4 linked regions of the Tamandua tetradactyla genome follow. The protein of the gene in region 3 purifies or fractionates together with the protein of the main gene of each other region. This does not show direct contact. Links are inferred from orthologs where the notes say so. Each region holds a gene or a part of one and is shown on either strand. Other genes may lie near its edges. The genes, in order: ITCH, RBBP6, CPSF6 and RNPS1.

The links.
Region 1: the proteins of CPSF6 (region 3) and ITCH purify together in Homo sapiens (affinity purification with mass spectrometry; 5 studies listed by BioGRID and IntAct, with this or other methods). This does not show direct contact. The link is inferred for Tamandua tetradactyla from reciprocal best matches to the Homo sapiens genes CPSF6 and ITCH.
Region 2: the proteins of CPSF6 (region 3) and RBBP6 purify together in Homo sapiens (affinity purification with mass spectrometry; 3 studies listed by BioGRID and IntAct, with this or other methods). This does not show direct contact. The link is inferred for Tamandua tetradactyla from reciprocal best matches to the Homo sapiens genes CPSF6 and RBBP6.
Region 4: the proteins of CPSF6 (region 3) and RNPS1 purify together in Homo sapiens (co-immunoprecipitation; 3 studies listed by BioGRID and IntAct, with this or other methods). This does not show direct contact. The link is inferred for Tamandua tetradactyla from reciprocal best matches to the Homo sapiens genes CPSF6 and RNPS1.

What each region holds. Positions count from the first base shown.
Region 1 is NC_135327.1:18,487,551-18,495,500, reverse strand, and holds the start of ITCH (E3 ubiquitin-protein ligase Itchy homolog), read left to right. Parts: upstream 1-4,939; 5' UTR 4,940-5,061; exon of another isoform or gene 5,062-5,113; intron 5,114-7,950. UniProt on the Homo sapiens protein: Acts as an Acts as an E3 ubiquitin-protein ligase which accepts ubiquitin from an E2 ubiquitin-conjugating enzyme in the form of a thioester and then directly transfers the ubiquitin to targeted substrates.
Region 2 is NC_135349.1:32,520,296-32,527,689, reverse strand, and holds the start of RBBP6 (E3 ubiquitin-protein ligase RBBP6), read left to right. Parts: upstream 1-4,376; 5' UTR 4,377-5,508; coding exon 5,509-5,674; intron 5,675-7,394. UniProt on the Homo sapiens protein: E3 ubiquitin-protein ligase which promotes ubiquitination of YBX1, leading to its degradation by the proteasome.
Region 3 is NC_135333.1:137,452,990-137,460,803, reverse strand, and holds the start of CPSF6 (cleavage and polyadenylation specificity factor subunit 6), read right to left. Parts: upstream 3,008-7,814; 5' UTR 2,933-3,007; coding exon 2,873-2,932; intron 1-2,872. UniProt on the Homo sapiens protein: Component of the cleavage factor Im (CFIm) complex that functions as an activator of the pre-mRNA 3'-end cleavage and polyadenylation processing required for the maturation of pre-mRNA into functional mRNAs.
Region 4 is NC_135349.1:55,261,144-55,268,685, forward strand, and holds the start of RNPS1 (RNA-binding protein with serine-rich domain 1), read left to right. Parts: upstream 1-4,531; 5' UTR 4,532-4,639; coding exon of another isoform or gene 4,640-4,641; intron 4,642-7,160; 5' UTR 7,161-7,277; coding exon 7,278-7,348; intron 7,349-7,542. UniProt on the Homo sapiens protein: Part of pre- and post-splicing multiprotein mRNP complexes. Auxiliary component of the splicing-dependent multiprotein exon junction complex (EJC) deposited at splice junction on mRNAs.

The sequences.
Region 1 (7,950 bases), on a different chromosome or scaffold from region 3:
ATTTTTATTTGCTAAATCTGGTAACACTATCTGGGAGGGAATGACTGAGGTGGCTAGGAACAGAGATTATGTACTTCATTTTGCAGATGAGGAAACAGTCTCAAAGAGGGGAAATGATGGAGCCACAACCTCAGGTCTGAAGTGATCTCTCTGGGTCCAGATCTCAGACTTCTAGAAGCCCTATTCAGCGACTGCTCACCATCAACACACAGTTTCTCCACTTTTCAATCCTTCCCTTGCCTTTGGCAATGAAAAGCAGAGGGGTTTCAGGGGGTCTGCTCAGATCAAGATGGTAGAGTGAGTTAGTTCAGGGCTCTGTCCCTCCACAGAAGCTTTGAACAACAAGCAAAACTGGCGGAAACATCTTCCTCAAAGTTCAAGAAAACAGTTAAAGGACTGCAGTTGTAGTTTCAGATCAAGAAAACGTCTACTTAGAAGTGTTAGCATCTCCTGGCACTCTGGGTGGCTCCTTCCCCACCACTCCCTGGCTCAGCTGGCAGTGGCCCCAGAGCAAATCCCTGGTCCCTTTGAGAGGAAGCAAAGTAACCCTCACGCACATACATACTAGGAGCATGTATGTCTGCTCCAATCGTCTGGTGTTGGCCAGAGGGTCTGGCCATCATAGAAATTGTCCTTTGAGTGGGAGAGCAGTCAAGCAGACACCTGAGGCAAGGAGATTGCTGGCTGAAGGTCTCAGTGCCTGAGACCAGGAGAAAACTATTTCCTAGGGGAGAGGGGACATTGGGAATTTTGTAAATGAGAGCATTCTTAGGCCACACATGCATACCCAAGACAAGACAGGCAGGATCAGCATGCATAGAAAAGATCAGGGTGACCCCTATACCTTGGTCTGGAGATATTCTCTGAACTCTTTGAATGGATAAGGCCTGAAGGAGAGCACTTGCACAGTTAAAGTTAACACATGATCCTGGATGGGGTGTAGCAGTGGAGGAGAGGAGACCCAAAAGGATATTTGTTGGGACATATGAAAAAATAGGGATATAGACTGTGAGATTTATATCAGTGTTAAATTTCTTGAGCTTGATAACTGCACTTAGGGTGAATACTAAGTGAATATCTCTGTCCTTAAGAAATGTACATGACAGTATTGAGTGTTTAAGGAGCATGATATATATACAACCTACACTGAAGTGTTCAGAAAATGGATTGATCAACAGACAGACAAATGGATAGATAGATGAATTGATAGACTGATTGATAGTTAGAATAATACGGCCAATGTGACAGCATGTTAAAATTGGTGGATCTGGGTATCTGGGTGGGGAGGGTATGTTGGAATTCTTTGTATGGAGTTTGTATTATTTTTGTAACTGTCTTGTAAGTTTGAAATTATTTCAAAATGAAAAGTTAAAAAAAATAAGAATAAAAAAAGCAGAGCTGCTCCAGGGAATAGAAGGACAGCAGCATGAGTAAGTGTTCTGTAGGGAAAGCCACTAAGTGACAGGTGGTATGTGGGCTGCTGGGGTTTCTGTCCCCACTCCTTCTGGCTCTGTATCCCTGGTACTTTCCCTTCCCATTGCCTGAGAAGACTGGAAAGCTCCTTGCCTACATGTTGGCATGCTTCTACAAGCCTACCCCTGTGCTGGCGTGTCGGGGCTCTGTCCTTTGCTGGCAGGGTGTCCAAGGCAGAAAGAGGGAAAAGTTACCTGGAGGCTTTATCAGCCACTAGCCCTATATTCTGACCAGGACAAAACTGAGCTGTTTTTTTTCTTTATCTCAGAACCTGGAAGCTAAAGATACATTGCATGGGAGATGAGGCATTTAGGCTGGGATCCTTGTCTTCACCAACTCAGCTCCTCCTTAGAGAGCTACCAACTCCTTACCCTTGATCTCATAGAATCTTCACAACATCCTAGCAGGTAGGATCTATTCTTATTTTAGAAATCTGGACACTGGGGTTCAGGTGACTTAACTAAAAGCCCACAGCAAGTTGTTGACACAGGCAGCACTAGATTCTTGATCCATGTGACTCCAAAGCCCAAATTTTTAACTCTTGCTGGTTTAGGTACTACCTACCAGGTCATAACTAATTTGTCCTGTTGGGGTTAGCAAGGTTAGTACAGCATAGTCTAGTATGGCTCTCAAAGTGTGATCCTGGGTATCAGTATGACCTGAGAACTTGTTAGAAAGGTGAATTCTCTGGGCTGGCCCCAGACTTCCTGACTCAGAAATTCTGGGGTGACACACCCTGCATTCTGAGTTTTAACATTCCCTTCAGGTGATTCTAATGCACCCTAAAGTTTGAGGTTCTTTGGCATGTAGTCGAAAGAGATATATTTTTAGAATAATATGAGTGTAAATATCAAACATATATTTGTTTTTAGTAAACTTATATTGACATATAATATAAATGCAAAAAAATGCACAAATTGTAAGTATCCTCTAAAATGAATTTTCACAAAGCTGACACACCTGAGAACCAGCACTCAGACACAGAACATTATTATCGATACTAGAAGCCCCTTTGTGCCTCTATCCAGGTGAGGCAGGACAGAATAGGGCATTGAGGCTGTGGTCCCTAGTTTTGTACCCAGTGCCAAAGGAGTTAATGCACAACTGCAAACTCCCTAGAACAAGAATTTCCTCCAAAGCTCAGAAATCCCCCAAAACCATAAAGCTTATTAAATCACAGGTCCAAAATGGACTCTTAGTTAATAACAGAAAGTCTGAGGTCATAAAGATTGTTAAACAGTGTGCTCAAAATGAACTTTTAGTAGGAGGTCACAAGCACCAATAGTTATCTCCTCCTGAAACATGGAAGACAACTGGCACTCAAAGGTCAAAATGGAAAATTGCTGCTAGCAAAACCTCCCTATGAAACCATGCCACCCGGAGCATGCCTCTTCCTTGAGCACATCTGCACAAATTTCTCTAGCGTGTACTAACTTTTCAGTAAATTTCAATGCTTACTGTTACTTGCTTTCTCATCCTTGAATTATTTCTCTCATCCTTGAATTCTTTCTTGGGGCAAGACACCGAGCCTGGAATGGAGCTCAGCTCTGGTGTTGGCAAAGCTCTGGTTACACAGGTGCTACCTCCCCTCAAAGGGCAACCACTATTCTGACTTCTAATGCCATATATTAGTTTTTTGTTGGGTTTTTTTTTGGCTTTTTTAAAGGGGAATTTAGTAAGTTGCAAGTTTACAGTCCTAAGGCTGTGAAAAAGTCTAAATTAAAGCAAGTCTATAAAAATGTCCAAATGAAGGTATCAACAAGAGGTTACCGTCACTCAACAAAGGCTGATGAATTTCAGGGTCAAATGGAAAGGCACATGGCGAACATGGCGACATCTGCTAACTTTCTCTTCAGGCTTCTTGTTTGATAAAACTCCCTCAGTTTTCCTTCTTCATCCTCCAAAGGTCTCTGGCTGCCTGGGCTCTCTTGGTTCTTGTGCTCTCCTATGGCTTGCTAGCTCTCTCCAAAATGCTTCCTCTTTTAAAGGATTCCAGTAAACTATCATATATTAGTTTTGCCTAACATTTATAAAATTTTTAAAAATTGTAGAAAACAAAATCTGGAGCTAGAGGACTTGGTTGGATCCCTAGTTTCTGGCTGAGTGATTTTGGATTATCATTTAATTTCCTTGGGACTCTGTTTCCTTCTCTGAAGAATGACCATACAAGTAACTCATATCTTAAAGAGTCACTATATTTCTCAAACTTGTTTGGTGACAAGTATCATCTGGGGCACTAGTCAGGAAATGTGGCTTCCCCTAGAGTATACAAAAATTGTTTGGAAAAAGGAGAGGACAGGGGAAAAAAAATCTTACTTTTTAATGTATAGAGCACAGGTCCACAAACAGTAATAAACATATATGGTATATCTGTGGTATTAAAATTTCAGGGGAGCCAGTAGGCAAAAAAGTTTAAAAAGGCTCCTTAGGGGGATGGTAACGAAAAAAGGTTGAGAACACTGCCTTAGTGCAGTGGTTCTCAAAGTATGGGTCCTGGTTAAAAATACAGATTCTCCGGTCCCACTTCAGACCAACTGAATCAGAAACTTTGAGAGTGGGGCCCAGCCTTCTATATTTTAGCAAATCCTCCAGTGATTCCCATGCACAGCAAACTTTTGAGAATCAGTATCGTAGAGAATGTGACTGAATTAGGCGGCCAGGAAGTAATATTTTTCTCTAGCTCTGCTGAAACTATTGTGAGAAACTCTGACACGGTGGATTTGAAGTTCTCTGAAAAATGTTTAAGTGGCTTTTTCGATGGTTAAATATTATTTTCATTAGGTGCAAACAGGCTAAACAATAGTAGCAAAAGTCACTAATTACTGACCATTTAGTCCCTACTTCCCAGGTCTTACTGGCACAGCTTGTGTCAACGACAACCCCTGAAGGAAGGCTAAGAGGATGGGCTCCGAAGTCAGATCGCCTAAATTCTTATCTCGCTTGTGACCTGGTTTATGCAGCCGTAAAATGGAGACAGTAACAATTCTTCCCTCATAGGTTTGTATTGAGGATTAAAGGAGTTTAGTGATGAGTACTCTAGAATACCTGTGGCCATTTAACTGTAAGCTACTATCATCATCCCTTAGATCATCCTGTTAAGAGGTGGAGAAAGGGGGATTTTAACCCAATCAGTATAACTCCACAGCAAAGGACTAAGTTGCAGTCCAACGATTCTCAAAGTGTGATCTCCTACCTACTGGTAGCATCACCGGAGAACTTGCTCGAAATGCAAATTATCAGACCCCACTCTAGACCTACTGAATCAGAAACTCTAGGGATGGAGCCCAGCAATCTATGGTTTAACAAACCCTTCAGGTGATTATGATGCACAAATAGAGTTTGGGAACCAGAGCCCTCCCACCTGCGGGGACGGAACTCGGCTTTAGGGCGCATACTAGCCCCCGCCCGCACTTCAGGGCCGGAGGCGGACGAGTGAGCAAGGCCTGCTGGGGCTTGTAGTCCGGACAGCTCCCGAGCTGAGGCGCCTGCGCGTTGGCTGCCAACTCGTTCTAGTCGCTGTAGTTGGGGCTCGGGACCGGCTGCCATCTTAGTCGAGCGACTGAGGAGTCGCCGCCGCCCCGAGTCCCGGTAAACACCCGCGGGCGGACCGGGGGCGGTTCCAGGGAGAGGGGAGAACCGGGTGAGAGTGTCCGGGAAGATCGAGAGGTAGAGGGGTGCGGCGCGCGAGCCGTGACCCCAGAGTCGCGGCTGCTCCTTCTTCCCTTAGAGTCAGTGCCCGTGGGGGGCGCGGGGAACTCGGGTTAGTGACCCGAGGCTGGGGGTGGGGTGGAGGGGGCGGTCGACTGGTCGGGCCGGGCGGCCAGTGCGAGGCTAAGGCACCTGGAGCCCCTCTCCTCGCGGGCGCCAAGTTGTGAGGGAGCTGGGCAGCAGTGGGTTCGGGCAGGGTCCGGCACCGCGCTCCTCTGCCCCGCCCGGGGGCCACTCGCGGGTGACCCGGCCTACACGCGGACCCGGGCGGCTGTGAGCGACGTGGCCTCTGTGAGGGGCGGTTTCTGGACCCACCTACTCCCTGGCTGGCTTGCCCAAGACTTTTTGTAGCCCCCAGTCGCGAGGGGGCCCAGCACAGCGGCTCTCTTCCCTCCCTTCCTGTATTCTCCTCCTCCTTCCATTGTCCCCCCGCGTGGTGGTCCTGGCCCGGGCGCCCTCGCCCGCACCCGCCACCGCTGGGACCCCGGCCCGCGCCTTTCTGCGCCAAGTTTGCAGACGTGAAGCTGTCACCGTTCTCCCTCCGTAGTGTGCCCTTTTCTGTAGCAGAGTAAAGAAAAAAGTAGCCGTGAACGATGTCTAAGTGTTTGAAACATGTTGACATGAATTTAAATGGGGGATTCAAGTTTTCAGACTTAGTTTGGCCCGCGACGTGGAGACACACAGGGTCTGTGTACCGATGTAGACTTTGGGCCTAAAGTTAGTCATCTCTCTGACCAGGTGAACTTGCAAACTCCCCGGAATTCACTGTTCTCCAGTGACAGTTTATCTTGTTCTCTTGGTTATATTCGTTTCTTAATCTTGTTACATTTTCTGTCGTTATTCTACAGCTGCAGTATAGTTTTTGGGGGAGGGGTTGGGGAAGGAATGGTAGGATTTTTCTTTGAAAATTTGTGAAGCACTATAGTTGCACTAAATCTATCTCTAATATAATTCCATCTTAATAAAGTATATAAAGGCAAATTTATTTCCACTCTCAAAATTGGCCAGGGACTTGTTTCACAGCTGAAATAAAGTTCTCATGGCAGATGTAGTGAGAACCTGCACTGTGTAATCACACGTTTTCTCAAGGTACAGTTATTTCATTTTTGAGATCTAGAAATGAAGGTGGAAATTCAGCCTTCTTGAATAGCGAATGCAAACTTTTTGAGTTTCACCTTCACTATATAAAGGAAATCAACCAGAATATAGTATGAAATAAAAAGCAAGTGTAGAATACTTTTTCAGCATGTTCTAGAATGAGTCATTTTTCTACATTCTTTTTCAAAACACATCTTTACACCTTTTGGAAGATTTCAGAAGAAGCCAGTGGTCTCTAAATTTAACCATTAGAATAACTAGGGTTGCTTTTTAAATATAGAAATTCCAGGGTCTTACCTCCTGAAATTAATTTAGTAGGTCTCTGTTGGTCCCCAAGGCATGTTTTTAAAACATGGCTTTGTAATTCTGATGGTCTTGGGAATCACTAATATAAACAATACCATGGACACATAGCCCAAAAAGTTCTGAGAAAGGTCAAGAGGAAGTGGCCAGTTACACCTGGGGGTTGGTCAGAGAAGGAGCAGTACCTGTCCCTGGACCTGAAGTTGGGTCTAAAGTGTTAAATAGGAATGTGACAAATGGGGAAAGAGAAAAAAACATTAATCCTATCTGTAAATGCAGAGGCCAGAAAGGTGAAACAAGGCAAGTATATGAAAAGTTCTAAGCATAATGCTAAAAATTTGAATTTTTAATAGATACAGATTTTTAGGCAGGGAAGTGATATGAATATGTGTGTTTTAGAAAGGTTCTGGTGATAAGAGTGAAAGAATGAAGAGGGGCTATTGGAGAAGTTCAGATGAGAGGTGACAAAGCCTGACCTTGGAGAGAGGCTTTGGGGATGATTGAGGGATTGAATTTGGTTCTTCACTGGTACAGTAGTATTTCTACTTTAATTGTGGATTGGGACTTTTTAGGGTCAGTTTGGGTAAAGGACTCTTTTCTGTCAAGAGTCCATTAGTAAATCAGAGTAATATTGTTGGCTTGTGTATGTTAATGGTATCAGAGTGAGTTGTTCATTAGCATCTTTGAGAATTAGAAAAGGTCAGGTGTAATTTGGAGGAGGATTTGGACTGAAATTTATGAGTATTAACACTATTGATCGAAGCTTCATTGAATGTAATTGTTTTTCTTCCATTCTACAGAAACTTGGTGTTGGAATTTTAGAGTTGGGAGAGATTACAGAGATCATCTAGTCCACATTTGCAAATATATTTTGGTTTATGGGTCAACCCTCACTGGAAGTAGCTGCAGAAGGACTGTTGCAGTTCTGGTCATGAGTGTTCTGGGAAAGTGTGTTATGATTGGACGCACTTACCTAGTAGATAGGTTTTTTGCCTATTGTAGCCTCTTAGTTTTTGCTTTGCTTAAAAAAAAAAGGAAGAAGAAGACTAAAGAGGTTAAATAATTTTCCTAAAACTAGTTAAGAGTCAGCTAGACCTAGAACCCAAGTTTTGTAACCCTAGTTGGTAGTCTTAAAATATACCAAGATGAATGTATACTACTAAGGAGCTTTTGGTATTAGAGAAAAACAAAAACAAAAGTATTTCTGGCCTGTTCCTCTTGACTGTTTAGGCAAAATTTTTACAAGGAACTTTGGCTTAAAAGTGAGTTTTGCTTGTATTCATTCTGGCCCAAGAGATTTGTGTTTGGCTGAAGGAATAAATTACCTGTTTTCTTCCCTTCCTTTCTTTTTCCTCTCAATTTTGAATT
Region 2 (7,394 bases), on a different chromosome or scaffold from region 3:
AGTTGGAAGACTTACATTTCCTGATCTAAAACTTATTACAAAGCCACAGTGTTCTAGTTTGCTAGCTGCTGGAATGCAATATACCAGAAATAGAATGGCTTTTAAAAGGGGTAATTTAATAAGTTGCTAGTTTACAGTTCTAAGGCCAAGAAAATGTCCCAATTAAAACAAGTCTACAGAAATGTCCAATCAAAGGCATCCAGGGAAAGATACCTTGGTTCAAGAAGGCCAATGAAGTTCGGGGTTTCTCTCTCAAGTGAGAAGGCACACCGTGAACACAATCAGGGCTTCTCTCTCAGCTGGAAGGGCACGTGGTGAACACCGCGTCATCTGTTAGCTTTCTCTCCTGATTTCCGGTTTCATGACGCTCCCTGGGAGGCGTTTTCCTTCTTCATCTCCAGAGGTTGCTGACTTGTGGACTCTTTGCTTCATGCTGCTGCAGCATTCTCTGCTCTCTCTGAATCTCTCATGCTCCAAAAATATTTCCTCTTTTATAGGACTCCAGTAAACCAATCAAGACCCACCCAAATGGGTGGAGACACATCTCCCCTAATCCAGTTTAACAACCACTTTTGATTAGGTTATATCTCCAGGGAGATGATCTAATTACATACAGTATTGAATAGGGATTATTCTGCTTCTATGAAATGGGGTTTTGATTAAAACATGGCTTTTCTAGGGTACACACATCCTTTCAAACCAGCACACACAGTAAGCAAAACATTGTGGAACTAGCACGAGGACAGACATACAGACCAATGGAACAGAATTGACAACTCAGGAATCAATCCTCACATTTATGGCCATCTAATTTTTGACATGGCAGCAAAGACCACTCTATTGGGAAAGAATAGTTTCTTCAACAGATGGTGTTGGGAAAACTGGATCTCTATTTGCAAAAAAAAAAGAAGAAGAAGGACCCCCCCTACCGCATACCCTATACAAAATTAACTCAAAATGGAACAAAGACCTTATTATAAGACATAAACTCTCAAATTTTTAGGATAAATAATAGGCAAGCACCTTCAGGACCTTGTTTTAAGCAATAGTTTCTTGGACTTGATACCCAAAGCATAAGTAACAAAAGAAATAGATATGTGGGGTCTCATGAAAATTAAAAACTTTTGATCCTCAAAGGATTTTATCATGAAAGTAAAATGACAACCTACAAAATGGGAGAAAATACCTGGAATCCCATCTCTGATAAAGGATTACTATACAGTACGTATAATGAAATCCTCCAACTTAACAACAAAAGGTAAACAATCCAATTTAAAAATGGACAAAAGACTTGAACAGACATCTCTCCAAAGTAGATGTTTCAAGGGTTAGAAAGCACATGAAAAGATACCCAACATCATTAGCTTTCAGGAAGATCCAAATCAAAAGCACAATGAGATGCCATTTCACACCCATTAGAATTACTGCTATTAACAAAATGAGAAATAACAAGTGTTGGAGAGGATGCAAAGAAATCTGGACACTCATTCATTGCTGGTGGGAATGTAAAATGGCGCAGCCACTGTGGAAGACATTTTGGTGATTCCACAGCAAACTAAGTACAGAATTACCACATGACCCGACACTTCCACTTCTAGGTATATACCCCAAAACGTTGAAAGCAGGGATTTGAATAAATATTTGCACACTGGGTCATAGCAGCATTATTCAAATTCAAATTTCCAAAGGATGGAAGTGACTGAAATGTCCATCGGCCACCGAATGGATAAATAAAATGTGGTATATACCTACAATGGAATATCATTCAGCCAAAGAAGGACTAAGCAACAACATGGAAGAACCTTGAAGACATCATGTTGAGTTAAGTAAGCCAGACACAAAGGGACAAGTATTGTATGATCTCACTGATTTAAAATAATTTGAATAAGCAAACTCACATATTCTATATTCATATAGAGTCAAAATCTAGAGTATAGATTATCATGGGATGGGATGGGGATAGAGAATAGGAAGTTAAGGCTTAAAAAGAGCAGGATTTCTGTCTGGAATGATGGAAATGTTAATCATCGTGACGGTAGCACAACCTGTTAATGCAATTAACAGCACTGAAATATACATCTGAATGTGATTTAAAGGGGAAATTTTAGATTGTATAAATGGAATCAGAATAATATTAAAAAGAAAAAACTCCGGGCGGGCCACGGTGGCTCAGCAGGTAAGAATGCTTGACTGCCATGCCTGAGGACCCAGGTTCGATTCCCGGTGCCTGCCCATGAAAAAAAAAAAAGAAAGAAAAAACTCCTTGGAACTACACTGTGAACTCTAATTAAACCATGGACGATAGTTAATAGTAGGATTATAAAAATATGGTACCAATTGTAACAAATGTTCCACTCAATGCAAGATGTTGATAATAGGGTGATATATAGGAAAGCGATTTTTTTTTTTTTTAAACATGGTCAGGTACTGGGAATTGAACCCGGGTCTCCGGCCAGAACTCTGCCTGCTGAGCCATCATGGCCCACCCAGTAATAGGGTGATATATGGTAATCCGGTATTTTGTGCATGAGTGTTCTGTAAAACCCACAACCTCTCTAATAAAGAAAAAAATTAGGTAAAAGGGGATTAGTCAAAGACTAATACAGATTCACCACTTCGGAGGTGTGAATATCAATATAATTTATTCTTGTGTTTTTTCTTTCTTTAGATGTTATTAATCCTCTTACACTCTCATCGAGATTTTTCAAGGAAACCAATCATTCTGAACTGTGGGTGAAAAAATTTTTGTGAGTTACCAAAGAAAATGAGTGGAAACTTGCTGTATATGAAAAACACTGATGTGTATGGTTCAGCTAAATCATATTTGCATCTCTGGGGCTACGCTTGTAAAAATCTTACCCTTGTTGTAAAAATCTTATTGCCATGGTATTTCTATAGATCACATAAAAATGTATTTAGTTATTTAACAAATCTTTATTGGGCGTCTGCTATATCCAAGCACTGTTCTTGGAGCTGGGGACACAGCATAATCAAAAGAGAAATTCTTGCTCTCAACTGGGACCGGGAAACAATTAAAAAATAAATGTATACTATGTTAGTTAGTGATGAATGTTAAGCAGGGAAGAAAATACGGGTAAAGAGCTGGCGAATGCTGGCAGGGTTACCTAGATGAAAAACGTGGCCAGGAAGGCTTTACTGACAAGATGATGATTGGTTTAAATCGAGTTCAGTAAGAATTTAGTGTGTATTCAGGAAGTCTCTGGCAACTCTGCCACTTCCTGACTGTGTGATCTTGTACAGCAGTGACTAACTTTTCTGAGCCCGACTGGCCTGTAAAATTCAGAGAGGATAGAGGAAATGCGTTGTAAACGATAGTTATTATTGTGGATTATGAATATAGTTTATATTATGAATTTTATGAATGCAGTATGACCGCCCCATGCCCCAAGAAAAGAGATTCCAACTCATTGGGGTGGTGGTGGATGTTCTTTTGGAATAGTTCCTGCCCTTTGTAATTCGAAATGGGATTGAGACCCTGTCACACAGCTGGCATTGCTTTCTGCGAATTCAGAAAGTGCATCATTGCTAGCTTTAGTTTCCTCATCAATAAACTGGAAATAATGGTAGTCCTGACCACTTAGGGTTTTTGTTATTGTTGCAAAATTGACATTCATTGAGTCATTTTTGACGCGTATTGAACCACATGCCAGGCTTGGTTCCAAACAATGTAAATCTATTCATTCGTTTAAACCATAACAATCCAAGAAACCAAGTACTATTTTTATCAGCATTTTATGGTTAGGGAAACTGAGACACAGAGGGGTTAAATCTAGAGTCGGAGCTCTATGGTTCCAACTCAGAGAATTTGACTCCAGAACCTGGGAATATTATAAAGTGCTTATCCCAGTGCCTAGCTCATACTTAGAGCTCAATAAATCTTCGTTCTTCTGGATGTTATCAGTTCTAGGCTGCGGCTGGGATCAGAATTTCTATTTCGGAAGGGCTTGGGGTAGCCAGTTTGTTGGAAGTGGGAGGTAGGGAGTGTTTACATAGCAACCATAGCTTACTGCATAGTAACCATATGTTTACTTAAATTGGGGAGTTTGGGAGAGTTGATCGGAACTGTGGGGAAGGGACAGTTAGCCGGCCACCCCTTGGCACCCCACTGTTCAGTGGACATTAGCACAGCAGAAGCTGAAATCTGAACTCTCCCCCTAGAACCACCCTATGACCCGGTCCTTTTTCCCTCTAAAGCCTCTCCCCTCCCTTTAGAGGCGGATGGTTTCTTCCGTTCCTCGGTCTAGTTCAGGTTCCGCGCTCCTGAGTCACAAAGCGCCGGAGTCACGTGGGAGGGCCGGTGCGCTTTGTGACGTCGACGGCTCCGCCTCTCGGCCCGCCTATCCGCTCACGCCAGCCCCACCTCGCGCGCGCCGCCCGTGCAATCCTTGCCTAAGAGACCCCGGAGTCGGGCGCTCGCCCGAAGCCAGGCCGCGTCCGCCATAGTGCCTGGCTTGGAGGTGTCGCCGACGCTTGGTGAGGGCCGGAGAGCGGCAGGGGGGCAAAAAAAAAAAAAGAAAAAAAGGGAGCCAGCAAAGCCCCTTGCCGTTGCCCGGCGGTTTCCGGCCATATTCTGGCGGTTCTGGGCCTAAAGGCGACGGAAGCGAAAGGCGAGAGAAGCTCGGAGCACACGGCGAGAGGAAGCGTCAGGGAGACTCGGCGGCGTCCCCGGGGTCCGCCAGAGCCACCCGGCTACTGGGCTGGGGCCGGGGGTGGTGAGGAAGTGCTTCCAGGCCCAGTTGAGGCCTAGTACCGGCTTTGTGTCTAAGGCGGCGGCGGCGGCGGCGGCGCACGGCGGCGGGGGGGAGGTGGAGCCGGGGGCGGCCTGCAGAAAGGCCTCTCCTCCGCCGACCGCGCTTTTTTTGGCCTAGACCGCGGGGCCGCCTGTGGTCTGCCGGCAGCAGGAGAAAGGGGTTTGTGTGGGGGCTGGGGGCCTGGGCCTGGGGAAGTCGACGCCAGTCGTCCGGAAGCCAGGAGGAGGCGAAAGGCCGCTCGTGGACTCCGGGCCTAGGCCCTCTCCCCTCAACCTTCTCCCGGGGCCTGGGTCACCCCATTCCACGGAAAGAGACCAACCGGGAGGTGCGGCCACGCCATGGACCCCTGACCCCGCGGGGGTCACTCGGACTTTAACGTGTGGACTGACCGCTACTGACTGCACCGCCTACCCCCGTCTCCTGCCGGCCCTTAGCATGAGCGAGGGGGACCCAGCCGGGTGACATTGTGCCCGTTGGCGGATTCTCGATTTCCCCTTTTCCAGGTCCTCGTCTCCCTCCTCCCACATGAAGTGATTCTGAGTAACAGGGGGGGGTTCTGGATTATTGTTTTACGAACCCCTGCTTGTGGTTGGGGGTTATTTAATCCAAGACCTTAGGGTCCTTCCGTGTCTTTTGAGTGTTTTGTGTGTGTACATTTTTGCTCTTAAGTTTATAAATATACATATAGTGAGAGTGTCCACGTCTCCTCGCTGAACCTTAGGAATCCTTTGGCACCATGTCCTGTGTGCATTATAAATTTTCCTCTAAACTCAACTATGATACCGTCACCTTTGATGGGCTCCACATCTCCCTCTGCGATTTAAAGAAGCAGATTATGGGGAGAGAGAAGCTGAAAGCTGCCGACTGCGACCTGCAGATCACCAACGCGCAAACGAAAGAAGGTAAGAGCCACATGGGCTCCAGGTATTTGCTGGTTGAAGATAAATAGTAGTAGTAAGGTGTCTGGCAGAAGACTAACCGCCATTATGTCTCTGTTCGTTCTAATACTTTCCATGCAACTTTAATTGATAGCCAAGGGTTACAGCATCCCTACTTGGAGATTAACTGGTTTATTTAATTTGATTTCTGTGTAATTAGGTCATTTGTAACAGGCTCATCCAAAAACGTGAAAGTTTGATTATTTACTCTTTTTTTTTAATGAGAATGGGTGGAGGGGCGGGTATCCAGAGTTTGGTTCTTGCCTTGTGCTGTAACTTTTTTTTCCATCGAAAGAAGGTTGAAAGAGAGCATATGCAAGGCTTGTTATTTGTTAAAGCAGCAATAAAGATACTTCTCTAATTTTGCTTTTGGGGAATAATGGCAAATTGATGTCCTCCCTTTATCCCGCCCCTTACCCTTATTTTGGAGTTATTTTTGCGAATTTAATCCACCCACTCTTTAATGTTGTAATTGATTTTGGAACTTGATAGGTTCTTATGTGACAGGTTTTGTATTGTGTATAAATTACGGAATTAGTAATGCAGTAATTAGATAGTTGAACTCTTAGTTCATCATACTACTCTTAAAATTTAGCAGTTGATTAAAGATCAAAAGAACTGGTTTTTCTTTTTTAAAGTAGTAATTGCTGTACTTTACATGACTATGTTAGGAGAATATTGACAGATAGTAGGTTGCTACCATATGAGTACAAACAAACCACTGGCTGGAATCTTTAAGTTCTTTCTCCTTTTTGAAACTATTTTATGATACTGGAAATTGAATAATAGATGAAACAGTGTGCTGATGGCCTTTTCAGACTCTTGACTGTGAACTTGTTTTGGTTTCTTTTTCTCAGTACAGTAGTTTACAGTAGGTCAATGTTGAGTTTTATTGATGGAATGAGAATGAATGAAGTGAAGTTCTAACTAGGTTAGATTTATTGATCACTAAACTTGGTGTAAGATGTGACATTTGTTCATTTAGTTGATATGGGAGGACCCCCATCTTTAGCATGTAATGTGGTGTTGGGTAGAGTACATCTTTTCACGTAGAAGAGCAGCTTTCCGTTTCCAGACATAATTTAAAGAACAGCAATACCGGCATCATGACTCAGAACTGTTCATTAGGAAGAACTTTATTTACTTAAATGATTACATGTGAAAGAATAAACCCTCCTTGCCTCCACCATCAACTGCCGTTTTGTTTTTTTTTAAACAGATGTTATATCTAAAGAGCACTTCATATGAAGCTTTGGTCATTGTAATTATGTGTAGCATCCTTCTACTTAAGAAAAGGAGAGATTGTGGTCATGAACATTGAGAGAGCTTTTTTTAACATGTTACTTGAGAAAATACCTAAAGAGAAATATTCTTATTAAGCCCAGCAAATCATCCCTTAAGTATTGTAGTTACATTTCATTTAGGCCATATTGATATATTAATGAGCACTTATGAATGAGAGAAAGAAAACATTAATAATATTAATACAAGAGGATATAAAGGCAGTTTTAATGATTATGTACTATGCAGGTTTCATATTTTATTGGAGCATTACACAACTGAATCATTAAATGCTAGGCTTTGTCCTTTTCCATCTAACAGTTGAATACAACTTGAATAGACTGTGTGGAATAAGTTTTGTTTGAAGGAATTCTTGTCCATCAGCTTTGCTTTGTAACTCTGT
Region 3 (7,814 bases):
ATTAAAGTCTGTAATTACTACATACTAGGCTAATACTTACTACACTAAGTATAAATGACAGTTCAAACTGAATTAAAACACTATAGAGACTGAGACAGAACAGCTTTCTTCTGTTCTCAATTTGGTGACATCCAAAAACCTTCAGTTTAAGAACTAAAGGGCCTCCACAAAGAATAAGATAGCCAATTCCCTTGTGCCTTCTCACCTCCTCTAGCTTTCTTTTCCATTCTTAAATTCACCAGGTGAAGAAAGGAACTCTACTGCAGTTTCACTTTCTTGTTTTCACTCCATCCCCAAACAAGTTAGTTTCTTCTAAGACAAAAGAATGCCTCACACACAACTTCAGATAGACCAATACTGTGCTTTACCAAAATAATTTTTAAAAGCTTCATAAACTACCACCATTTAAAGAAGTAAAAAACAGAAAATACACAAACCACGAAGCATTTCAAGTTACATACGCAGTTTAAAAGTCAAAAATTTAAGTCGACTGACTTAACATAGTAAAATAATGTACTCAATTACTTCTTATTCAAAATCTTATAGTTTAGTATAGCAACCAGTAGAAATAAGATCATCTAATAGAGGGCAAAACTAAATTAGTCAGCAATAACTTCACAGTTGTCTCTTAAAAAAAAATTTTTCAATGATACTAGCATTTTTTAAAAACAGGATGAACCTTGAAAATGACCAATTATCCTTTTGCAGCCATTTTTAAAATAGGGAATTACCACAGCAAGCAGATTAGAGGCCAATGATATGCAAAATAACAAAAACAAAGCCTGTATTTAATAAAACTGTAATGCCTCCCGCCATTAATCCATTCAAAGACATTAACAATTTTAGGGGGCAAAATCACACAACTATTTATGAGATATAATGACCCAGATATAAGTCAAGTGACATTCTAAAAGAACCTTACAAAATAGTTCATCGAATTCACAAAATTTTAATCTCTTACCTCCTGCTCACTCAAGCCTTAATGCACAGAGATAACAAAAAAATATCACTCCAACCACCTATGTGGATATAGGAGATGTCCCTCCAAAATTAAGTATGTAGAAGTCTAAAAACATTTCATAAAGAGGTAATCAAGAAAGCTTAATCTCTAAAGTTCGCCCTAATTCTTCCTTTATTGTGGGTAGAAACGCAAACCAATATATTCTTTTGTAGGAAAAAGTAAGGAAGACAATCTTGAACATTTAATTGTCCCTTTATTCACAGGTGTGGCTTCTTTTGGTCAGAGCGCTCTACTCATCTGATAAATACATAAAAGAAATTTCCTAGAAGCCTTTATCTATGGAAATTAAAAGCATTAGAACCCGATGCTGTGTAGCACTCAAGGAAACTTTCTAAGTTCTCATCGACACAATTCAAGTATCATACAAGCAAAATATAAGTGAATTTAAAACACAAGAATTTTTAAACTCAACATTTAATGACAATGGGTTACAGTTAAACATTTGCAGTTCTGAAGGGAGTAGGAAATATTTAAAAGCTAATTAAGATTTTTTTTTCCTCTTCTAATATTTGAGCCACACATTCTTGAAAAAAGGAATGTAAGATTTCTGGAGTTTTCGTATTTTAAAATATCTTGACCTCCTACCGCAAATAAAATCCTTAATGAAGGGAAAAAAAACCCAAACATTAACCAAAATTTTATTAAGCTTCTCGTTCGAACCTGGAAAATATAAAAAACAGTGCTATTAGGTGTCACATAAAATGCAGCAAAGTTGTGAACATAGGCTTTAGGGCTTAAACGTCATTAACTTGGTTAAACAAGATCTTCTACAAGGATGCTTATCATCAGACACCAAGTTCTAGGCAACTGTGACCTGATACCAGAACAAATCTTGCTTTCTCACTTTCTCTAACCTCTCAAAATATAAAGTGGATCCCTCCGAGTAATTTAACATCTTGCTTTCAAATACAGCATATCTAAAATTCTTTATTTTCAAATTTAAGAATTTCGGGTGAATGTCCGTTCTTTATTCTTAAACACGCCTCTACACCTGATCTCTAAGTGAAAATACCATGGATCTTTTTGTTGCATCCTACCATCGCGCTTCCAAGAACTGCTTTTCGCCCAGGCCACCTATCTTCACAGGAATTTGTATCACAAAGATCAAGAGAGACTGGGCCGCAAAGGCACTGCAAAGCCCTCGATTAACGAGGCCAGCCAGCGTACCGACTTTTAAATACAATTCGTGGGTTCTAAAGTCAAAACACTTGTTGCAAAGATGCTCACATTTAACACGCCTTCTCCCGGTCAGGGAAGGAGGAGGAAGGCGCCACGCCGAAACCTGTCGCAAACGCAAGCAAGAGCGCCCGGGAAGCGGGGCGCGCGGGATACAAAGGGCCGTGAACGCGGCCTTCCATGAGGCGACAGTGCGTGGACAAGGAAACAAAATGGAGCGACAGGAGGAATCGGAGCCCGGACGGCAGCGCCGGGAAAGAGACGGCAGCCGGCGCGAGCCCCTCCGAGGCTTCCTTCTCGGGCCCCGAGGGGGAGGGGATGCGGCGGCGGCCCTTTCTGCCCGCCGCGCACACGCGGCCCCGCCGCCCGGGCCTAGCGCGGAGAGAAGCGCCTGCCGGCCGCCGCCTACAATAAGGAGCAAAGCGGCGGCGAGGGAGGGGTCGGTGGCGGCTGCACCGACGGAGGCCTGCGTCCGTGCCCCGCAGCTACGCGGCCCGCGAATCGACGCGGTAGAACGAGGGGCGAGGGGGGCACCGGAGCCGGAGGAGGGGCCCACAGGCGGCAAGGGCGCACGGTCTGCAGCCGCGCGGCCTCGCGGCCCGCCTCCGGCCCCGGGTCAGCGTCCGGGCCGCAGTGCCGCCCACTTCGGCGGTACCGGCCGGGGCCCTCACGTACCTGGTTGAACTCTTCGCCCACATCCGCATAAATGTCTATATGGTCCACACCGTCCGCCATCTTCCTTTGGGCTCTGCCGCCGCCGCCTCCTGCAGGTCTGCCCGCCTCGGCAGCAGCAGCGGATCTAGCGGCGGGGGCGGGGCGCCCTAACGTCACTTCCGAGGCCGAGAGGCGGAGGCGGGGGCGCCCGGGGGTGGCGGTCGCCTCTGCAGCCTAGCGGCTCCGCTGGCTGAAAAGATGCTATTTGCCGCTGAGGGCAAAAGCGGTTTCTTTTGTGTGTCTGGCTTAGGCCCGCGGGGGAGGGGGAACAAGTCCCTTTTCTTACTCGCGCACCTAGCTTTCCTGTGCATCCCAGTTGTTTCCAGAGGCCGTGTTTTTACATTGCCTCTGGCACACTCAAACGTAGTGGGGTTTTTTTGTTGTTTTAAAATATGTATTTTTGTTTCTTAATTTTCCTTCTATTTCTCACAGCCAGGACGTCTAGAGAGGTAGAAGTTGTCCACGATTAGGTACAGTGTAACCCCTCGGTCATTCTTTAAGCGCCTTGAGAGCAGGAATAATGTCGTTTTCCTTTACCTTCAAAGAACGGCAGAGTTCCATTTCCATCGTAAATGCTAGAAGCCCGTTTGTGGTTGTGTTTAGTCATTTGCATGCTATTCTCTTTGTGTCCCTCTCAATCTCTCATCACTTATCTTCTTTCATTCTCATTTTTTCTTATTTGATCTGCTGTTGGCTTTCACTGGTAGTTCAGATACCTGTAGCTTGAATGCAATTATCGTAGGACAAACATCCAGTAAGGTGGAGAAATCTTAAGGTAAAGAGATTATCTCTTAGAAACATCGAATGTCCAAACGGGAAAGGAACTGAATGGTGTGTGATCAGGTCCAAACATCTCATTTGGCAGGAGCTGGAGACCTAATAGAACCTAAGCAATCTAACCGTGTTGCCACGGATACTTCATTTAAAGGTATTTCTCCAGTTTGAAAACTTCCCCCTACTTTTAACCCATTTTTAAAACCTCCAAATTAGAATGTTTCCTAAGATAAGGACTAGCCAGAAATCTTAAAGTACTAAGCCAAGCCAACATCTGCCCATGGGTTTTGGTTGAGTACAAAATTCTGCTCAGACATTCTATGAACTTGATGACCTTGGTCAAGTTACTGAATCTCTCTCATCTTCTGTCTCATAATCTTTAAAATTGGGGTAATAAAATCTACCTCAGATGGCTGATGGTACCTTAAGGGAGATAAAAGGCAAAAAGTGCCTACCATTGAGAAATACTGATTTCCTTTCTGACTTTGAGTAGTCTTTATAGAAGAAAAAATCACCCAACATAAAGGGTAAGAGCAATTTTTAGAATGGTAGGAAGAATGATGACGACCCAATATGTCCATGCCCTAATACCCAGAACTTGTGAGTATGTTACATTATGTGACAAAAGGAACTTTGCGGGTGTGGTTAATGATTTTGAGATCAACCTCCCCATTTGGAGAATTTTATATTCTTGCAAACAGTGGGGACAACCAAATCAATAGGCTGATCTAGGGGTCACCCCTATAAAACTTATTCCTGCAAAAGGATAGGTTAAGCCTACTTAAAATCAGGCCTAAAAGTCACACCCAGAGAACCTCTTTTGTTGCTCAGATGCAGCCACCCTTTGTAAGCCAACTCGGCAGGTGAACTCAGTGTCCTCCCTCCTATGTGGGACATGACTCCCAGGGGTATAAATTTTCCTGGCAAGGTGGGACAGAACTCCTGGGGTGAGCCAAAACCTGGCATCAAGCAATTGAGAAAGCCTTCTTGACCAAAAGGGGGAAGAGCTAAATGAGGCAATGTTTCAATGGCTGAGAGATTTCAAACAGAGCTGAGAGGTTATCCTGGGGGTTATTCTTATATGTTGATACTTTAACTGGGACATTTTCATGGCCTTAGAACTATAAATTTGTAAGCTAATAATGCCCCATTGTTAAAAGCCAGCCCATCTGGTCTATTGCATTCCACAGCTTTAGTAAACCAAAATAACAAGGAATGGACTCTTCCCTAGATTCTCCAGAAGGAACACAGACCTGCCAAAATCTTGGTCAAGGCCAGACTTTGGACTTCTGGCATCTAGAACTGTAAGATAATAAATTTTCATTGTTTTAAGCCAATAAAGTGGTTATTTGTTACCACGCTAGCAAACTAATACAGGTGGGCTGGAAGAAAGTTCCTCTACAACATTCAACTCCCAAGGATACCTTTGGCTTTCAATTCTAGGTAGACCTGAGTCATAGAATTTCAGAAGTAGGGGAACTTTTAAAATTATCCACCCAGCCCTTTATGACGGTATTGAGGTAAAGGACTTGTTTATAGTCAATTGGCTAATCAGTAGTAAAGCCTACTTTTCTTTACGTTAAGTAGTAAAGTCCTAAGACTCATCAATGCTCTTTGAAGGAGCATTGATTTTTTTTCATCTAAGTACAATGATGACTACAAGAAATTTAATAAAGAGACTAGCATGTTGTAGAAGGTGCTCAATAAGTGGTAGATTAGGTTATTATTAAGAATTTTTTCTTTTAATCTATGGTAATGTTTTAGTTTTTGAACATTGTTGAGTGAGGAAGTACACTATAACATAATTTTTAAATCATCAGAAAGTTAATGAGAGTGAGTGTGGAATTTCCTGGCCAAGAAGTAGAAGAGAATAGGGTCTATACATTCAAACTTCTTTTGCCCTGGTAAGAGAAGGGGAGAATTTGCAGATGCATAAAGATGAATGAGAGGCTGAGCTATGCTTTTGACAGCTGGGAGACAGAATTAGTGATACAGAAGATAGATCAGGAAAAAAAAAAAGGTATCCAAAATGAAGCATGAGGAAACCAAGGATGGAAAATATGAGAGGAGAAATAGTGGCTAGAGAGAGGAGATCTAACATGCATTTAATTGGAGTTGTAGAAGAAGAGAAGAGAGGGTTAGAAGCAATATTTGAAGAGATAATAACTGAGAATTTTCCAAATATCATGAAAAATATCAGACAATATTAGACAAGAAGTCCAGTGAATCCCAAGCACCATAAACTTAAAAATATACACCTAAACACATCATAGAGAAAAAATAGAAAACTCAAATCCAAGAGAAAAATCGTAAAAGCAGCCAGAGAAAAGGGACTGATTCTCTTCAAAGAAGCAGTAGATTGCTTGTAGCAGTGGAATGACTTTTAAATGAATTGAAAGAATATAAACTGCCACCTAGAATTCTATACTCAGGAAGAATATCCTTCAGGAATGAGAGCAAAGTTTCATCCCCCTGTCCCATATTATCAACAGCTCCTTCCAACATGAAAAAGTTAGAATGGGCATGGCCCAAATGCCCGTAAAGAGTGGGAAAAAGATCAAAGGTGATGGTGGAGTTATACAGAGAAGGTTGGGTTCAACAAGTGAGTCTGAGTGCTGAATCATTATACTGATATTTCTATTGGCCTCCAGTACCTTGGAGCAGCTAGAAATAAAAACCAAAAAGGGTGGAGTTGTAACCCATACCAAACTCTGAAATCTGTTCTAAAATTAATTGTTGTGATATACTTTGAAATTTATTGCTTTTATGTTTATATGTTATTTAAAGAAGAGGAGGAGCATAACAGAGAAGATAGGATTTAACAAATGAGTATAACTGCTGAATCATTATATTGATGTTTCTGTTGGTCTCCAGTATCTTGGAGAAGCTAGAAGAAAAAAAAAAATTATGGAACTATAACCCGTACCAAATTTTAAAATCTGTTCTACAACTACTTGTTAAAATGTACTTGGAAATTTATTGCTTTTTTGTATATATGTTATCTTTCACAGTAAAAAAATGTTAAAAAAAAATGAATGAAAGCAAAATAAGATATGCAGAAACTATGAGAATTTTACCACTGGTACACAAGGAAATTTAAAAGATATTTTTTGGATAGAAAGAATTTGATCCCAGATCGAAAATTTGAGATACAGAAAGCAATAAAGAGCAGTGAAAATGTTAAGTATGTTGGTAACTCTGAATAAAGATTGTGTAAAACAGTAATAATACAGACATGTGGGGTTTAAGTACATAAACGTAAAATCACAATTAAATAAGGGAAACCAAGAAGTTATAAGGGAGGTAGATAATGTTTTTTCTGTACATCCGTTTCTTCCCTGAACAGAAGAGCTTTCTCTCTTTTTCCATACACATGGCTATGCAACAATCAACTCCAGGGTTCAGATAATTACTGCTCAAGAAAAATGGTTAATTGTCTTAGTTTCAGTTACAAAACTCTAAAGAGAAAGCAGCTGATTAGATTTTTTTTTTTTTGCTAGAAATCTACTCTCAGTCCAACCAAGTCTGTCTGAGGGGGCGGGTTACACTGTAAAAACATGACTGACAAATTTCATCCTGTAAGTTAGGAAAGGGTGGAGAATTCTCAGAGAAAAAATGTTGCATTGAGCTAGGCAAACACCCCAAAGGATATCTAATACATTTTACCTGTTAGATTGGCAATGCATAAACAAAGGCTATAAATATTTAATACTAGCAATCATTCTGACTTATTCCAAATCAGTCACTTAATATCATCATCTCTGTAGGAACATGACTAGGCTTCCAATGCACTTGAGACCGTAATTTAGCCCTGTGCTCTCCAAACCTTTAAAAATACTCACCTCATCAGTATAACATTTAAAAACAGGTAGCCACAGTACATGTATGTGTATATATATATATACACACACACACACACACACACAATTTAATGTCACTATATGAATTCATTTTATATTAACATACACCATAAATATGCATATAAATATAAAGTTTTAAAGGATGAAATAAACAAAATTTTTAAATGTTTTGCTAATCATCTTGGCCTCATACTATAATTAGTAGTTATATCACTGAATTTCAAATAGTCTTCTTAAAATTTTTGAAATTTGGGGACCTACTCTTGTAA
Region 4 (7,542 bases), on a different chromosome or scaffold from region 3:
GCGGGGCAGTCGGGGAGTCCCCATCCATACCTGCCACTACCTCTGGCCGGCAGGAGTAGGAGGCTGGAGCTGTGGGGTTGGGCCCTGCCTTCCTTTCTCAGCAGACGGGGCTGCCCAGGCTCTGTTCCTGGGGCCCAGCCCACACCCCACAGATGCCTCCCTGGTCAGAGAAGCTCCATGTGGCCTGGCTGCAGGGGGCTCAGGGGAGGCCAGGCCAGCTATGGCCCCTGCTGCTCCCTGGCTCTGCAGTTCATCCCCTGCTGCAGCCCCCTCTCCCCTGGCAGCCCACCCCAGGGTGGGCAGCTCGGTGTCACTGGCCTCGACATTCTAATGACAAGAAAGGACACGTTGCTTTTTTTTTTTTAGGATTTTTTTTTTATTAATTAAAAAAAATAAAACATTTAGAAATCATTCCATTCTACATATATAATCAGTAATTCTTAATATCTTCACATAGTTGCATATTCATCATTTCTTAGTACATTTGCATCAATTTAGAAAAAGAAAAAGACAACGGAAAAAGAAAATGATAATAGAGAAAAAAAAAAAACTATACTTACCATACCCCTTACCCCTCGCTTTCATTTACCACTATTTCAAACTGAATTTATTTTAACATTTGTTCCCCCTATTATTTATTTTTATTCCATATGTTCTACTCTTCTGTTGATATAGTAGCTAAAAGGAGCATCAGACGTAAGGTTTTCACATTCACAGAGTCTCATTGTGAAAGCTATATCATTGTTCAGTCATCATCAAGAAACATGGCTACTGGAACACAGCACTACATTTTCAGGCAATTCCCTCCAGCTTCTCCACTACATCTTGAACAACAAGGTGATATCTACTTAATGCGTAAGAATAACCTCCAGGATAACCTCTCAACTCTGTTTGGAATCTCTCAGCCATTGACACTTTATCTCATTTTACTCTTCCCCCTTTTGGTCAAGAAGGTTCTCTCAGTCTCTTGATGTTAATTCTCAGCTCATTCTAGGGTTTTTCTCAGTCCTTTGATGCTGAGTCTCAGCTCATTCCAGGATCTTTGTCCCATGTTGCCAGGAAGGTCCACACCCCTGGGAGTTATGTCCCATGCAGAGAGGGGGAGGGTGGTGGGACTGCTCATATTGGCTGGAGAGAGAGGCCACATCTGAGCAACAAAAGAGGCTCTCTTGGGGGTGACTCTTAGGCCTAAATTTTAAGTAGACTTGACCTACCTTTTGTGGGGTTAAGTTTCATGTGAACAAACCCCAAGACTGGGGGCTCAGCCTATAGCTTTGGTTGTCCACACTGCCTGTGAGAATATCAAGAATTCAACTTAGGGAAGTTGAATTTCTCCCCACTCTCACCATTCCCCGAAGGGGGCTTGCAAATACTTTTCCAGTCACTGATCAAATCACTCTGGGATTCATCGGGGGATCACTCTGGACAAACCAACAAAATCTCAAGTGCTACCTGAGATTACTAGTACTTATGACATTCAAACTATCTACATGAGTTATATTAGGAAATGCTCTAGTCGAAATCTAAATTTTGTAACAAACATTTTTTGCTTTAGTCTTACACATAATGTGACATTTTGAAGTATTAGTTATCATCTATTTTCAGCACCCAGCAATAATGACAATCCTTTGTTCTTCCTCATGCAAAACATTTTTAAAATTTGTACATTGTACATTTCACTATTATTATACACTCTAGGCATTCCTAGATTATACCATCTTGATCTTTAACATCTATCTTTCTTTCTGATTTCATTTATGTCCCCAGCCCTCTTCCCCCTATCATTCTCACATGCAGCCTCATTCAGTGTTTTAACATAATTACATTAGTTAGGTAGTATTGTGCTGTCCATTTCTGAGTTTTTGTATCCAGTCCTGTTGCACAGTCCATATCCCTTCAGCTCCAATTACCCACTATCTTACCCTATTTCTATCTCCTGATGGTCTCTGATACCAATGACATATTCCAAGTTTATTCTCTAATGTCGGTTCACATCAGTGGGACCATACAGTATTTGTCCTTTAGTTTTTGGCTAGTCTTACTCAGCATAATGTTCTCTAGGTCCATCCATGTTGTTACATACTTCATAAGTTTATTCTGTCTTAGAGCTGCATAATATTCCATCGTATGTATATACGACAGTTTGTTTAGCCACTCGTCTGTTGATGGACATTTTGGCTGTTTCCATCTCCTTGCAATTGTAAATAATGCTGCTATAAACATTGGTGTGCAAATGTCCGTTTGGGACACGTGGCTTTGAGCCTGAAAACCTGCACAGCTTCCCAGCCCACAGCTCTGGCCCCCCAGCCCCTCTGAGGCCCGTCTCCCTCAACCCGCTGCCCCTCCTCCCCCCACCCCACCACGGACAGTGTCCTTCTGCAGCACCTCCTCCATCCACCCCGGTTCCCCCTCCTCTCAGCTGCACTCAGCATCCCCATCCCCTTTAAGCCGCCCCTCCCGCACACCGCCTAATTCCTCTCAGCCCGCACGGTGTCAGGCAAAGGACTCGAGGAAGTCAGGAAGTGTCTGCTGGAGGGGCCAGAACCCAGGCCCGCTACGACCAGGCTTGCCCCAACCCCATCCAGGCCCCTTCAGACAGCATTAAATTCTCCCCAAAGTCACACAGCTCCTTGCAGCCTCCGCTCCCACCCAAGCAAGCCCCTGTGCTGTACCCTGGGCTGGGCCATGCCTGTCTTTAGCACCCATAGCTGGCTTTAGTGATGGGCACAGGTGCTTCCCAGACATCGTTTTCAAGGGGATTCGGTGCCCGCCTCCACCACCAGAACTGCCACCCCAGCTCTCGCTGTGTCCCAGCTGCCAGCCTCCGAGGGTGGGCCCTGCAGAGGCCATCTGGACCAGGGAGGGTGAGGGCAGGAAGAACATTCCACCTTGCTGTAAGCATGCTCCCCACATCAGCACTCCCCAAGCCTCCCGGGAAGTCTAAAGCACCTAACTGTGCAGAGGGAGCACCGGTAGTGAGGAAATGGGGGAGGGCGCTCCCCAGTCCCCCGGGTGTCAGTGACCTCGGCGGCCTCTCCCAGGATGCTGCCCCAGGCCACGTGCAGAACTTCAGGGCCCGGCCAGCTGCTCAGTGCCCTGTCCACAGAAGCCTGCCCTACCCCCATCAAACCACCCCATGGGGGGTCCCCATGACCTGGCCTTGCCACCCTCAGCGCCCACAGCCTTGGCAGGATGGCACTGGGTCACAGGAGTGGGGAAAGGCAGGACTCCCGAGGGACGGGAGAAATGTACATCCATGTTTCTTATGAACACATTTCTACTGTGTCTCAAAATGGCAAGATCAGGATGCTCAATTTTTAAAGCTCAACAGCTGACTGTACATTTTATAACAAAAACCAGTAATATTTAGAAACAAATTTAATTAAATTCTGAAGTGTCTGAATAAATCATGTTAAGTTTAATATAAAATGTGTTAAATTTTTCAGGCATGCCAAATTAAATTACTTTAGCGCATTAACCAAAAGCAGGAGGGAGGAAGGGGGCTGGCTTTCCACCCCCCACCGCCCTCTCACCACGGTGGGGTCTCCTAGCTGCCCCTGAAGGGTCAGTGCTGCCCTGGACACATGATGGTTGGCTCGGGATTTGGGGAGCCCTTGCGGATTACGGGTTCCCACGTGCTGTCACTTCTGCCTGACTGGACCACCTAGTCCACCCCATCCCCCAACGCCCACCTCTGGCTCCCCCTCACGGCAGCGGGAAGGGCTGAAGGCACCACCCACTGGGGCACCCCTCGTTCCCACTTACCCCTTGATGCTTGGCCACGCCAGGGGACGTGATCACAAGGCACAGGATTTAACTCCTCCTAAATGTCGCCACATCGAATCTAAATCCAGGGGGGCGCCCCCACCCCCAACCCTGGAAAGTGTGGGCAGGACCCCTCCTTGCCGGCTGTGTTTTGCCCCCCAACTCCTCAGGCCAGAGGGACTGGGGAAGGGAGGGACCACACCTTTCCACCCACCCACCCATCCATCCATCCTGAACTCTTTCCTGTCCTTCACTTGAGGCCCTTCCTTCAAACCACCGGCAGGAATGTGCTCCCCTCCTCTTCCCCGCTGCACCACCGAGTTCCAACAGGTCACCCAGGCCGAGCACCTTCTCTCCTTCCACAAATAACTGCGAAGCGTCGACTACTTGCCGGCCACGGGGGTGACGAGGCGGGGAAGGAACCCGGCGAGGCCCGCGCCCTCCCAGCCCCCAGAGGCTCGGCAGCGGCCCGCACTGCGCGCCCGCGTTCCCACGCCTCGCCTCCCGCACCCACGCGGGACTCCGACCGCGCGAGCCCAGGCTACGCCCCAGCAAGCCCCCGAGCCCAGCGCGCGCGCACGAGAGGAGCGGGGCCGCGCGCCCGTGTTAACCCCCTGGCTGCCGGCCCATCGCCCGACCCACCCCAGCGCCGGGAGACGCCCCCAGGGAGGGAAACCAGGGCGGGTCCTTGACGCGGTGAACCAGAAACGCCCTTGGCCCTTTAGACTCTCCTCGCTCACGGCCATTGGCTGCCGCGGTTTACGTCATCGCTGTGCGACGACGGACGGCGCGCTCCCGCTCCCGAACCCTGACGACAGACAGGCGCCAGCCTCGGCGGCTGAGGAGAGCGGGAGGCGCTGTCGGCGGCGGGAAGATGTAAGTTCGGGGCGGAATCCGACCCCATCCGAGCTTGCAGGGCCGCCCGCTAGGCGCGGCGGGGCGCATCGTGGAGCCGGCCCCTCCACAGGCCCGAGGCGGGAACGGCGGCCCGGCGGCTTGGGTTCTTGGGAGAAAGTGCGGGCCGGGGCGGGCGGAGGGGGAGGCGCCGAGGCCGCGGCCCGGAAGTGGTCGGGCCCGGCGCGGACGGAAGGGCGCCCCTCGCCCGGTGCGCTCGGCGGCGGGCCCAGCTAGGCCCACGGGGCTCCGAGGGGCCGGCAGAGCGGTCTCCGCCCTCGCGTCCTCCCGCCGGGCCAAGACCCGGACCCGCAACGGCCTGGAAGCGCTCGCGGCCCAGAGCCTGGACGGGGGAGTTGTGAGTGAACGCGGACGGGAGGCGGCAAGGTCGGCGGGCGGGTTGCTTTGTGGGCGGCCCGGAAGACCGGCTGATACTCGGTTCCTGGTCAGCAACTCACACATTTGCCCGTCAATGTTACCGGGTCTCTGGTGCCCGTCTCGGTACCAGGCCTTGGGAATCCAGCCCGGTGTAGTCCGAGCACGGTGACCGAGGCGGGCACAGTCCCTGCTGTCGGAGGGGCTCCGTGTCACGGGTTCCCCCAGAGGGGAGGGTGCTGGAAGGTTAAGGTCGCTGGAGGAGACCTGGAAGATGCTTTCCTGCTTTAGTTTTTTCGCATGAATTGTGCCTAAAATGTACATTTAAGTGATAAAGGTGCTCTTAAGAGTCGAGCCCAAACGCCATCCGCTCGGGATGTAACTAATTGTTCTCTTCTTTCTCTGGCTGTTGGACGCCCACCATTCCGGAGGATGGGGGAGGTGACTGCGGTCCTGTCCTGTTACCCGCATTTGCGTGGACAACCTCACTCTTTGCTTTCTAGTACCCGGCAGTACCCAGCAAAGCGCTCATTTATTCTGCGATTCTTAGTTTTTACAGTGCTTAAAAATAACCGCTGGTGTTTGTTTTGCAAAGTGCATTCAGGGTTATGTCCTCGAGATCTTTAGGATTGGGGTGGGACCCAGGAATCTGAATGTGTAACCTGTAAGCGGGGTCTCTGCAGTAGCAACTAGCCACATGTAATTGTGGAGTACTTGAAGTATAACTGGTCCCAGTTCAGTTGAAAAATGTACACTAAGTTTCAAAGATTTGGTATGAAGAAAGAATGTGAAATGTTTTATTAATCTTATATTGACATCTTGGATATACTATATTCACTTTATTAAAAATTTCACCTGAGTTTTACTTTTTATAATGTGGCTACTGGAGAATTTTATGGTATGCTTGTGGCTCTTTATTCTCCTTCTGTGGACAGCATTGTTCTAGGTGATCCTCACCTGGGCAGGCCAAGGACACCTGTAGAGCATTCAGGAACCGTGTGTCACTTTGGAAACAAGTGTGCATGTGGGAAAAGAGCCTCCAAAAGTTGAGAAACAACCCTCTCATAAAACATCAGCTACCATTTATTGAGCCTTAACTGGGTGCCAGGTCTCTTTGGTGGATTAATTCCATGAATGTACTTGTTTCCAGATGAGAAAATAAGAATCAGAAAGGTTCAGTGACTTGTCCAAGGTTACATAGCAAAAGTCTTGAATTAAACCCAGGCCAACTGACCCCTATACTCTATACTCCTATCCACTGAATTCTACTCCCTGATTGCCCAAGGACACTCACCTTATCAGGTGCTTCCTGCTGGTATCTGTAGCACTTTATTTTAAGGTTTTACAGCCCTGGGAAGGAGCGTAAGGGTGATAGTCTGCTCTCTTCCACATAACCAGCATTAGAGTCTAGAAGTAATATTTCTGCTTTCTTTGCTTTATCGTGTTTCTAGCCATCTATTAATCTTATATTTCATTTCAAAGAAAATTGTACTTTCTCCCTACACTGAAGTACACATTACCTTAAAGTTCAGTATTTCCAGTAACTACTTTTTAAAGTATCATTTTCCTGCATTTTTAATGTTCATATGGGACATTTTATCTATTTGTGTTTGGGTATTAAGTGTTTTGATGCTAGTACTAGTCACTTTTGAAATATATTTTTGCTTGTAGTTATATGTCCAGTATATCCTAAAAAGAAATTACAGCAATAAAACAAGACACCCAGTTTTATAAGGAAAACCACACTTGAGTTAGGCTTTTCTCTGTGTTGCGTGTGAATGGGGTGCTGTATTTTTTTTAAGGGGCTTTAGAGGGCTCATCAAACTTATGGCCCAAGAAACTTATATACAGCCTGTAACATGACAATGACAGGTTTCACCTCCCTCCCACCCCCATTTGCTCAAGAAAAACAGAAGCTGAGGTGACGGTTCAACCTGTGCCTCCTGTAGGGTGAGAATCCTCTGTAAGGAAATGGTGACTGCCCACCCCAGGTTTCTGGCTGCGTGGACACTCTTTGCTTACTGTGTTCACGTGCCGATTTCTCATGTGCTCAGCTTTTTACTGCAAAGTAGATTTGTTGCCTTGCCAATCCGTTCACTCTTTAAATCCTTTTATCTTGTTATTAGGCTGCTCTTTGGCGTAAATTGCAATCGATTAGGGATCGTTTCTCAGAATCGAGTTAGAAGTGAGAGTTCAGATCAGTGAGGCCGCCATTGCTGCTCTGAACACTTCAGAAGGGGAGAATGGATTTATCAGGAGTGAAAAAGAAGAGCTTGCTAGGAGTCAAAGAAAATAATAAAAAGTCCAGCACTAGGTAATCCTTCTGTCAGATTTTTCTAGTGCTACTTCGGGGGTGCTACTGCTAGGAACTCTCAGAAAGGGGAAGGTTGGAAATGTTTTGCATTTGACAGTGAAAATGTCCTAAGCCACAGAGCATTTTGCTCTGAGGTTCCCTGAGTTCTCTGGCCCTTGTGGCTCCGTCCTGTGGGTTGTGGTGTTGTTCAGGGT